Caenorhabditis elegans: one gene and its partner. The protein of the gene in region 1 interacts with the protein of each later gene in a pairwise test. Each region holds a gene or a part of one and is shown on either strand. Other genes may lie near its edges.

Region 1 (5,504 bases):
ATTTATTGCCTATTTCTGAAAAAAAAACATGACTGCTCTAATTTCTATTTCTTTGCTTCTTGTAACTTTTGCTGGAGCTGCCGAAATGTGTGCACCAGTGACTCAGCACAGCACTCCTCAATCCGATGTTCCAAGTACTGTCACAATTACTTTTCATAAGCTCGAGACTTCGACGACCACTAAAGATGAAATCCTTAACGCAATTAGGACTAGCCACCCAGATGTGCACGCCACAGGAGAGCCAATCGATAAAAAATCAATCAAGGTTACACTAACTGCTGTTTCATGCGTGACCGCTATGAAGTAAGTTATTTTTCCAAAAAAAAAAACATACTTCAATGGGAGGTTTTAAAAAGTTCCTATGTATAGTATATAATAAAGAAAATCGTATCTATATCAAATGGATACTGATAAATGCGGTTTTGTGCGAAATCTGTTGTATACACAAATTTCATTCCAGATTGGCGGAAGAAGTCTTGAATGCAGGTACACCAGTGGTTTTAAATGCATACGCAATGTTGTGTGATGGGGAGATCTCTACGAATATTAAACCATAAGATCTTTCACGCGAATTCTCGATACTTAATATTATGCGATTTAACTTATTCGATTATTTAAATGAAGTATTTTATCACAGAGAAAAAATATATAAATACTTGGAAAATATGCAAAATTACGTCATAATGCTCGGGGAAAACTAGCTCAGGAATGTGCTACAGTGAAATAAATAATGGATGCCAAGAGTCCGATAATCAATGCAATAGTAATCAGTATGGTTTTCGTTGTGCACCATGAATCGCTTGATCCATCGAAGTCAACGAAATGAAGATCCTCAATCGGTGTTCGCACAGCTTCCATCTCTTCTGGTGTCAGCGCGCGTTCCCAGCCTTCATCCACGTGTTCTGAAATTTGTTAGTCGAAATTCGAAGAATAAAAGATGTTTTGTACCAATGCTTGTCTGTAAATCCATCATGTCATCAAAATTCTTCTGTGCATCTTCTACATTATCAGCCTCAAAGAGGAAATCATTGATGAGAATTGCTGGATGTGTGTAGAGTACTGTAGTAGCTGGACGAGGTAGTTGATGGACGGTGATTCCAGTTTTTGGTGATCGTTCCTCTTCAACAACTTCCATCGATTCGTAGTGAAGTTCTGAAATAGATATTTTGAACATTAAAAACTCAAAAAAATTGTTTTCAACTAACCAACTCTTGCAAACAGATTCCTGACTAAATGATGCTTGATTGCTCGGATTGCGTCCTTCACTGTTGATCTGATTGGAACAGCTGCGCGAACTTCAATGTCAAAAAGAACTTCGTGCATGTTGGACGCAATATCATCGATAGCTCCGAGCTCTCGGTTATCTAGAACTTTTTGACGATTGGTCTCATAGTCAAATAAAACAGAAAAAAACATACAAAGAGGATTCAAGAACAATTGTGCCTCAATCGTTGTCTTTTTATTCTTCTTGATATCTTTGATCAGTGGCTCCTTATCATCACGGATCTCACCATCAAGAAGTGTAAATTCACATTGGAATAAATTATTCACAAAGTTTTTCGTGGCGACTACCAAGTCAGAGTAGAAGTCAGTTGGGCGTCCTGTGTCAACTGGAACATTGTGCACAATTCGAGCAGATGCGTTTGTCACCAAAGAAATCCATTCAAGTTTTTGAAATTGAACTTTTTGGGCACTATCGTTGCCACGATTGGTCACATCAATTATGGCACCGATGGGGGTGGTGGATGGGGTCTCGAAGAACACTGTGATCTGAAAGTGAAAGAATATTACTGATTTTTGAAAAGAAAGGATTGGCAATATCTGAAAGGAACTATTAGTTTTTACAATAATTGTTTTCCCAGAAAAATAAAATATACATTGCAAATTTTTCTAATTTTGAGATACCTACCATATTATCCGAAATCGAGTCATCCACATTAGCCGTTGTGATTTGATTATTCATTTTCTGAATACGACCCAATGTCTTGTGAATATGTGATTTCCGATCTGAGAAAGTCTTCTTATCTGAGAACCAGGCAATTCCAACCACATGAATTCCACCGGGAAGCATTCGGAGAAGACGTTCTGCGTGATCTGACATCCATTCGTCTTCCAGCATCTTTGATGATTCTGTAGCATTCTGAAAATAATTACTATTATGAAAATTGTGATATAGTAAAATCCTTTACCTCTTCCAATGCACTGCTATGAACCGGACATTTGGAAGCATATGCCACGTGGATGTCACCATCCGAGCAGAATGATCCGAGCAAAAAGTAGGCTGACGCCGGAATTCCTTTATCGGATAAAACAAATTCGTGATTCTTCGCTGACTTGGTCACCCATTCCTGGAGTTGGACGTCAAACAGAATCATGGATTCTGTAACTGGAATTGCAAGTGTTGATGTCATTTTTTGTAGATGATAGTTAGTTTTTGGACAATACTTTAGCGAGTCAATATAGTATGAAGGCTATGCAGAATACATGTGGAGACGTTGATTGAAAAGTATACAGAGGAGGTGGATGATAAGCCAACTGCTGCTGTGGCAAACAAAAAGAGGGTTACCATGACGATGAATACCCAAGAAATTGAGAAAAAGGCGGTCTCCTCAGGTAACATGCACACCCCCAGCTCGGCCGGAGGAGCGCCGCGAGCGAGAAAATAAGATGTAATCGTGAAATTAGTTTTTGTGCGAAGGCATCTAACGGGTAAAGTGGGCACGCGTGTTAAATATAGGCGTTTTTGCTAAACTTCAGAGTTTAAATTTATTTTCTGAAAGTTAAAAGAGAGATCGCTTACGTTGAAAAACAAATTTCAATAATGACAGCTGCGAAGAGTCGGATTTAATTGGAACATCGTACTTTCTTCGTTTTATTTTACTCCCTTACTTATTTCTAGGAATCAAAAGTTGTATTTTATGAATATAAATAAGAAATACAATTTTCTATTTGTAAAATAGCTGAAAATTAGCAAAAAAAAAGAAGAAAACTCAAAGAAAAAGACGGAAAAAAAACAGAAATCGCTTAAAAATTGTTTTGTTGGACAGTTCGACAGAGCGCACTTTCTGACCCCAATATTGGCAATTTCCAAAAGTTTTTGGAACAACTTATAAGTTAACTAAAAGCTAAGTCAACAATAACCGTGAATGCTCAATTTCGTGAAAACAGCAGATTATCTGATAAATATTTAGAAAATATTGAAAATTTAATTTTAAAAAATATTCAATTACCTGTTTTCATGGGGTCCACCTTTTCCAAATGCAACTCTGGATGAGATGTAGCTGTAGTCTTTGACTTTCTTCTATTTCTAGTCATTTCAATGTTTGAATCTGAAACCACGAGATTCTTCTAATCGAGAAAGAGTGTTTTTTTTTCGAAATTGAATTTTCGAAATGTTTTGAGAATCGGAACATAGACGAACAAAAGAACAACAATTGAATACTTTCTTCTATAAAACTGTGCAAACTTTTGCAAAAAAAAAAATAATCGAAGTTTTATAGTTCATCTACCAATTTTGTTGTCTAAAATATTTGTATTTTACCCTAGGACCCTTCACTGAATCATAATAAATTCCCTGAACGTCCGACTATTACAATTTTGATATGACGATAGAACAAACCTTTTTCCTGTTTTATCAACTATAATTTTTTAACTGTCAATCAGTCAAGTCTTGATAAATAAAAATTAAAACAACATTTAAAAAATGGCTGAAGAACCAGGCAGAGAGGAAAAGTCTTTGTGAGTGTTGGAGCACAAGTTTTCAAGGCGAAAATTGGCAGGTGGAATATGAAGTCTTTTCGGGCATAGAAACACCAAACCCTGAAATTAGTTTTAGACTTTTTTAGTGAAATGGCAGATTAAGATAGTGACGTCACAGAAATATTTATTTTATTACTCAATTCCTAAACAATTTAGGTATTTGGTTCCTGGAAAATAATTGGATTGATGACCGATTTTTTTCTAGGCTTCATTTATTTATATATTAAGTAACAGGGTTGTTTTCCCAAGGTTTCCAGCTTGGTTTCCAGTTCGACCGCCAGCTGAGAAATTGTATCCAAAATGATTGAGTTTCATTTAAAAGTGTCTTTCCATCTTTAAACATCTGACTTCGACGGGAATATTTTTCAGAAGCTTTTTCCCAACCCAACCATTCTTCCCAAATCATCTATTGGGGTGGAGCTTCAAGATAAGAATCAACGAGACGCGGAGAAAAAAACAAAAAACTGAAGAAATTGTTTCCAATGTTTCCCATCGTCTCTTCCCGTGAGTTTCTTCTGACCAGTGTCAGTTGTCAAGAGCTTCTCCCTTCCACTGGACCACCTCCCCTTCTTATTTCAATTCTCCACCTTCTTATCAGTATCAATTGATCTACTACATCATGACATTATTAATCGCATCACTACTTGTCACTTTGTTGGTCATCTTTGAACAGATCAGCTCTGTCGGAACACATATCTCATCAAACAGCTTATCCAGGTACTGGTTCATTTGATTGATGGGTTTTATGGATGGTTTCTTCCAATTTAGCAGGTCTGAAATGAGCCATTTTTCTTACTTACTTCATTTCTGATCTTATCTATAGAACTTTCACTTACTATTAGATGTTGAGTTTTCCAAAAACAATTATATTTTTACTGGCAAGAAGTTTAGAAAATATTGTAAGGTATAGTCTCGCATCAAGTAACGGCGTAGGTGCCAACTTCTTCAATTTCTGTAGGCAAAATCATGAAATAGCCGAAAAAAAAAGTAATTTCTCCTTGTTCCACTGGGCAAATAGGAAAGGTTTACTGTAGTTACACTCGTAATAAGGTACCTCACTAATCCAAAAAACTGTTTTATCACCGTAAAACTACCCATTAACACAATCAGTCATGATTTTTCGAGCAAAATAGCTTCAGCTTTTGCGACGGAGGCCCCAAATCCTCAACTCAACGAGCTCGTAATGAGCAGCAAATCTCAGCTTTTTGCTCTTTTCTTTTGCATTGCTCTACGATGCTCTGCGGGCGGTCTTTTGCCATTAACCAGATGGTGATCATTTTCGAATAAAATGTTACATTTACGGTGGTAGGAAACTGCTTCAGAGAGGTCGGGGGGTAGGATGAGAAAAAAATGGGGATAGGAGGAGATGGATGAGTGTAAGTTTGTAGAAAAAAGTGTAAAATGTTTGAGATGTCATTCTGAGGTTCGGTTACAAATACACACTATTTGATCTTTGAATTCACTCAAGATATCTGGAAATGGAAATTTGGGTTCCACCGCGGAAAATTCATTTATAGAAAAGAGTTTCTGATGCGGCTTCAAGATTACTGTAGCTTGCATTCTTGCTTACTTTTTCATTAGTTTATTCCATAGTTTTTGTGCGGTCCAAAAAGATAAACTAAAATTTTTAATCCATTCGATTAAATTTTTCATTGTTAAGGTTACTGTGCTACCCTTGATTTTCTGTAGTTGTTCACATTGAATTTCAGCAAACCAAAACGATATGAATATAATTCTCAATGGTG
Region 2 (6,026 bases), on another chromosome or scaffold:
TTAATAATTGTTTTCCATATGAGCATTTCATAGTTTCTAGAAACCCGTTGTTGAGCAAGTAAGGCACGAAGGAAATTAGCAATATGACGTTTTCGAGCAGCCTGGAAGAAGTTAGGATTTATTTCTAAATTTTCGTTCAATTTTAGATTTTATTAACTTGAAAAATAATTTAATTAAATAAACATTCATGAAATTAGAAAAAAAAACTGCCGAGAATCGATTTTTTCGAACGCCTACATGTACAGTAGTATGTGAAAGGCATATACTGTTCACTGCGGGGGTCTCGCTACGATTATGTATTTGCAACAAAATTTCCTCCAGCTACTGTAGTATACGGCATTTTTTCTTCACAATTTTTTAGGTTTTAAAATTTTCCACATCGGTTTTCAAAATTAATAATTATTAAAAAATCTAAAAACAAACCTCAATGGCCGATGAAACTAGTGACCAAACGAAAAGTATCATTTTTTGTTCAACTGATAGTAATTTGATACTGAATATTGCAAATCTGCAATGAAAGTGTCAAACCGAATCAAAATGTTGAAAAAGAGTGTCAATTGGTCGAAGACCGGCTCCCATTTTGAAGCTAGACGACGTCGCGGATGAGAGAGCAAAGAGACGCAGTATGCTAGTTGTTGGAGAGAACGAAAAAATGAAAGAGAAGTCGAGCTTCTCCCTATTTCGCATTGCTCCCGCTTTTAAGCCACATAAGAAAAGAGTGAACTCTCGATAGTGGTTTTTATTGAGCGAACAAATTGAATGCGGATAAAAAACAAAAAAAGAAGGGAAAACAACGAAACGAGGTGGGAAACAAAAAAACGAACGTAACAGAAACAAAAAAAGAATATAGAATGTAACAATAACAAGAATAAATTGAAAGAGTGAAAAAACGAGACAACTCTAACGAAGGAAACAAAAAGGAAAAGAAAGATATAGATTTGAAGGCGTCGTAGTTGTGGAGAACAACTCGAGTTGGTGGGTCGTGGAGAAGATGCAGGAGGATTATGCTGAAAAATAAAAGACATTTGTTTGTTTTACTAGAGAATGAGGGATGACAGACAAAAGCTTCTCAAATTTGGCGGCGCACTCTCGCGTTACACAGGTGTCGTATGTAATATTGTTTGAATATGATAATATTTTTGTAGAATATAAAAATTTGAATTATGCAATTTAAAATTAAAATTTCAAAAATATTGAAACATACCTAGCGTCTTTAACACCGCTTTCCTCCCCTTTCGCTTCTTTTTTGGATCTTCCACTCCAAGCTCAATTTGAGCAAACTTTTTAACCTGCTCACGATCTTCTAGCTCTGTAGCTAACAGTCGAAGCGCTGCCAAATTGATTCCAGTGACATTTCTCAATTTTTCCACACCCTCGGACATTTTCGATTTCATTTGTTCGAAGATTGGGACATAATCGGACGAGGCAGTGATGTGACTGAGGTGGATTCTACAAAAAAAGTGGTTGCAGTCATTTTTAAAGTTTTCAGACAAACCTTGTTAGATATACAGCAACATGGGTGCACAATTCAGCTTTATACTGTTGTTGTGTGCAAGATGAAATAGCCAGAAGGATGTCCGCAACGTAGGAGAGAGGTACTAGAAGCAGTGTTCTATCAAGGTCGCTGGCTCTACATTTGGCGACGACATCAACGATGAAATGATCCAATGATTTACTGTTATACGCTCCAATAAGAGGATGTGGTTCATGCCCTGGATCTTCTTGGCGTTGAACCTTCTCGTTTCTAGCAATGTCAACTGCTTGAATGATATTTTCAGCGGATACAACACTGGAACTTGTCTTGCTGCTAGCCACACCAGCTTCATTGTCAGCATTTTCACCAGCAACAACGTCTTCCTCTTCAATAAGTTTTTTCTCGTATTCTTCTTCTCTTTCAACTTCCTCTCGTTCCTCGACAATTAAAATTTCATCGGTTTTCTCCCAGCAACGGATTGACTTGTCATGAGAAGCAGAGAACTGAAAATCAATATTTTGAATTAACAGGTATTTTTCACTTTATAATACTCACCATAACAGATCCATTAGTAAACTGAGCCAAACAACGAATATCCAAAGTGTGTCGATCAAGAACTTGAACCATAATAAATTTCACTGCATCCCATTGTTTAATTTTTCCATCTTTTCCGGCGCTCCAGAAGAGTTGTTCTTCTCCAGGACAGAATAAAACCGAAGTTACTGCATCATCGTGTGCATGGAATGATTTATGACAATCACCGAAATCCAATCCCCATACTTTGACTGATTTATCGACGGATCCAGTGACACAAAGTTTACTGGAAGGTGCAATATCGACACATGTGACAGGCAGTGAATGTCCGTATAGAGAAACAAAGAATTTAAGCGTATTAACAAAATACACTGAACATGTGTTATTCAGAAGAGCCACAACAAGAAATTTTCCATCCGCAGAGAAACTTGCAGCCAATGCTTCATCGGGAAGTTCGAGAACTTTTTGTTCTTTGATGGAAATTCTCTTTCTTGATCCTTCTGTCACCAGCACAAATGACCAAAATCGAACCGTCTTATCTGCAGAAGCCGTGATAAATCCTTCATTGTCAGGTGAATTTTGAATAGTCCAAATCGCTCCAGTGTGTGCTTTTCTTGTTTCAACCAGCTCGGCACTACTTAACTCGAACACGCCGATTTCTCCGTTCTGCAATGACAAAGTTAACTTCAAAAAATATTATACAACACAATACCTTTCCACCAGTTAAAATGTAGTTATCACCAGGAACAAAATTAACTGCGACAATGTCTTTGATATCGTTGTCAGTCAATGTTAATGACGACCGCAATGAGTGTGTACTCCATACAATTACTTCATTTCCACCTCCAGAAGCAAGAAGACTTGAAGAAGAAGATACACATAAAGCACGTACATCTTCTCTGTGACCGAGTTTGTCTAGATTACCAACACTATCACATTCAACACTATTTGACGTAGTTTCAATACTCATTTTGACCCAATGAACTGTGTTGTCTGTGAGAAGTGCATACCACTTATAAATTAAAGTGTTTTCGTTTGTTTTGACTGATCTCACAACATCAATCCACTTGATTTTATGAGGTAAAACCATCTCTCCAATGCGAGTAACAAGAATTGTCACATCTTTTGCCACATCATCCTCGTTAACTGTTGTTGTGTCAGATCTGAGAAAATGTAGTTGATGAAACAGTTATTTATTGACAACTTACGTCGCTTTTCGTTTAGCACTTTTTAACTTTTTGGTAAGCCTTTTTGCAGATTCGGTTTCGGAGAAGACTCTATAGACGTCGGCCACTTTATCAGCACCAACACATACTAAGAATCGATCATCATGAGTTGCGACCAATTGCAGAGCTCTTCCTTTGCTCTGACGGATCACTCTTCCGCGCAGCTTTGTCGTGATATATCTCTGAACATTGATTATAATAACTTATTTTTTTAGAAAACTATTACATTGGCCATATTAGCAAGAACATCATCTTCCTTTTCATCATCGTTTGTTGCTTTCTTTGCAGAAGGTTCTTCACTTTTTACTTCTTGTTCAAAGATAGCGCCATTTTTCCAATTGAGTTCGAAAACAAGCAATTCTAATTCAGCAGTTGCAGCTACAAGTACTGTTTCATCACGATGCAAGCTCATTGAATAAATTTCGTTTCGGCTGTCCATCACTGTATAAAAGCATGACTGCGAGGCAATACTCCAAAACTTGATCAAACTGTCTTTCGATCTGAGAGAAACAAGCACATTACTTCAATAAAATTAAGTTGAAACATACGTGGAAATTATGAATCTATCACCGCGGACAAATTTCATTTGTGTGACTGATTCCTTGTGGCCGTGTAAACGAAACATTCCACGTTCGGCAAGAATGTCCCACAGAACAATGACTCCATCTTTTCCACCCGTCGCAAACAGAAGGCCATCACTGCTAAACTCGATGCAGTTCACAGCTTTCTTGTGACCAGAGAACATAATTGGTTCAGAATCTGAATGCAATTGTTGTGATTTTGATTGAATAATCAAATTAAAACCTTCATTTTCTTGATTGAACAACTTCACTGAACCATCGGCATATCCAATTGCAAGAAGCGGTTTGTTCTCGCATTGCCGAACACACGAAATTGGCTTTGTAGATTCAATAATTTCGTTAACCTGAAAATATTTACAAATTAATGTGATTTGTATTTTAATAAACCTTTTCTGCAGTTCTCATGTTGTAGAAATTTAAATATTCATTTGCCGATACAGCAACGGTTTGTCCATCAATCGCAACAAGTTGGCCGTTGGCAGATCCAACGCACCCACAGGAGCCGGCATGTTCATATTTCAAATAATCCTTGGTCAATCCCATCTGAAAACAAACAATTATAATTTTTGGGCAATTCCAATAGGTTTATAAAAACATAATTGACAATGTTTTTGGTGATGAAAAAAGAGCCAACAACTCGAAAATTGGGTTGTGTGCAAATAGCAAAGCAGAACTCGGAAATAATTATAGACCATTGAACAATTTCGAATGAAAAAAAGATGTGCAAAATTTAACATGTATTTATTATCTAGAGACGCAAACGCAATACGGAAAAAACATAATTATAAAACTCGAGAAATAATTATCAAAAAAGATTGAGATGTCAATTGACGCGCATTGTCCGCAAACACGACTACGAGGAAATGCACAGATTGTGAAAAAGGAGGGAAGTTTAAATTTGAGGATCTACAAAAATCGAGACCCGAAGAACTCGGGGGATGTCCAACTGGGGGGATTCCCAACTCGGGGGATTGGCCACGCCCACAGAACCGTGCCTTACAATACGCCCATTTCTGCAACCTCCGCACGGTTTTGAATGATGATTTTTCTTCATTGTTTTTTGGGGGAGAAAAATCAATTTCGACTCTAAAAAGTTCAATTTGAATTGTTTTTTTCGGTTTTTGAGTCGTTTTCGCGGAATAAAAGTAAAATATTTCAAAAAAATCGATATTTCGCAGTGAAACAACAATTTACACGGAAAGGGGACGCGTAAAAATCGATTATTTGCAAGGAAAGAACAATTTACACGAGAGGAGACGAAGTGAAGAACGTAGAACGAGTTCTATTTAAAAAATTCGAATAAGATAACCTGAAAAATTGTCATGAAATGTTTTTCAGAGCCGACGGAAATTGTTCAATGAAATTATTGTACAAATTGGTTTGCAAGCTATTCATTGAACATTAAGAGCGAGATTTTATTGATCATGATAATTATTTACAGATAAGGATAATATTACATTTAATGAATTGCATAATTTCAACAAAAAAAACAATAATTTGTCATGAAAACGGAAGAATTTGGAGGATGAGCAGCTCGGGCGGATCTGAAAAATTTAAATTAGAACTTTCATAAAGACATCGCTGATATATAAATGAAAAAAGATTTTATCTGGTCTATTATCAGATTCGCTTAGTTTTTAGAGGCTTTTGGCTTAAATTCAAAAAGAACATTCAAAATAACATGGTTATTGCGAAGAAGAACTGATCGCCCGCCACTATGCAGAAATTCCGACTTCAAAAGAGCAGTGACAGCAAATTATAGCTGTTTCAACGATTTCAATGCCTCTATAAGTCCATATATGTTCGATCCGAAGATATTTCATTAATTTTTTGTTAAACTATTTCAATTTTTGTTCTTAAATCAATTTTTTTCCTACTTTCTACAATTTGAGAATATAATACTAACGTGGGTGGACTGGAGAAGCACATCCTTGTTTCATCCGTGCAATTTTGATGGTCCCTCGATTCGACGAAGTCTAGAAATTAAAAAAATCAATAAAATATGAGAGGGAAAGAGATTAACAAAAGGAATACACGAATTAAGGAGGGCGAATTAACAAGTCACGGTTGAAAAATACTTCTTTTTGCGAAAATGGCTGAAAAAACGAAGAAAAACAATTCAAATTGAACTTTTTAGAGTCGAAATTGAATTTTCTCCCCCAAAAAACAATGAAGAAAATCATCGTTCAAAACCGTGCGGAGGTTGCAGAA

Evidence for each region.
Region 2: the proteins of odr-4 (region 1) and F13H8.2 interact in a two-hybrid assay, tested with the Caenorhabditis elegans proteins (one large-scale study listed by BioGRID).

Annotation. Positions count from the first base shown.
Region 1 is NC_003281.10:6,729,045-6,734,548, reverse strand, and holds odr-4 (Odorant response abnormal protein 4), read right to left. Parts: upstream 3,750-5,504; 5' UTR 3,316-3,749; coding exon 3,231-3,315; intron 2,896-3,230; exon of another isoform or gene 2,801-2,895; intron 2,387-2,800; coding exon 2,190-2,386; intron 2,141-2,189; coding exon 1,910-2,140; intron 1,771-1,909; coding exon 1,419-1,770; intron 1,371-1,418; coding exon of another isoform or gene 1,365-1,370; coding exon 1,206-1,364; intron 1,153-1,205; coding exon 949-1,152; intron 903-948; coding exon 703-902; 3' UTR 613-702; downstream 1-612. Other genes in the region: Y102E9.3 (HMA domain-containing protein), read left to right, coding at 29-303, 461-557; Y102E9.5 (uncharacterized protein), read left to right, coding at 4,379-4,476, 5,469-5,504. UniProt on the Caenorhabditis elegans protein: Required, with oct-8, for the localization of a subset of 7 transmembrane domain odorant receptors, including odr-10, to the cilia of olfactory neurons AWA and AWC.
Region 2 is NC_003280.10:6,268,704-6,274,729, reverse strand, and holds F13H8.2 (Small-subunit processome Utp12 domain-containing protein), read right to left. Parts: upstream 4,367-6,026; 5' UTR 4,359-4,366; coding exon 4,203-4,358; intron 4,160-4,202; coding exon 4,039-4,159; intron 3,994-4,038; coding exon 3,783-3,993; intron 3,735-3,782; coding exon 3,461-3,734; intron 3,417-3,460; coding exon 3,217-3,416; intron 3,172-3,216; coding exon 2,721-3,171; intron 2,675-2,720; coding exon 2,030-2,674; intron 1,978-2,029; coding exon 1,496-1,977; intron 1,450-1,495; coding exon 1,205-1,449; intron 1,008-1,204; coding exon 1,003-1,007; 3' UTR 723-1,002; downstream 1-722. Other genes in the region: bpl-1 (BPL/LPL catalytic domain-containing protein), read right to left, coding at 1-101, 424-465.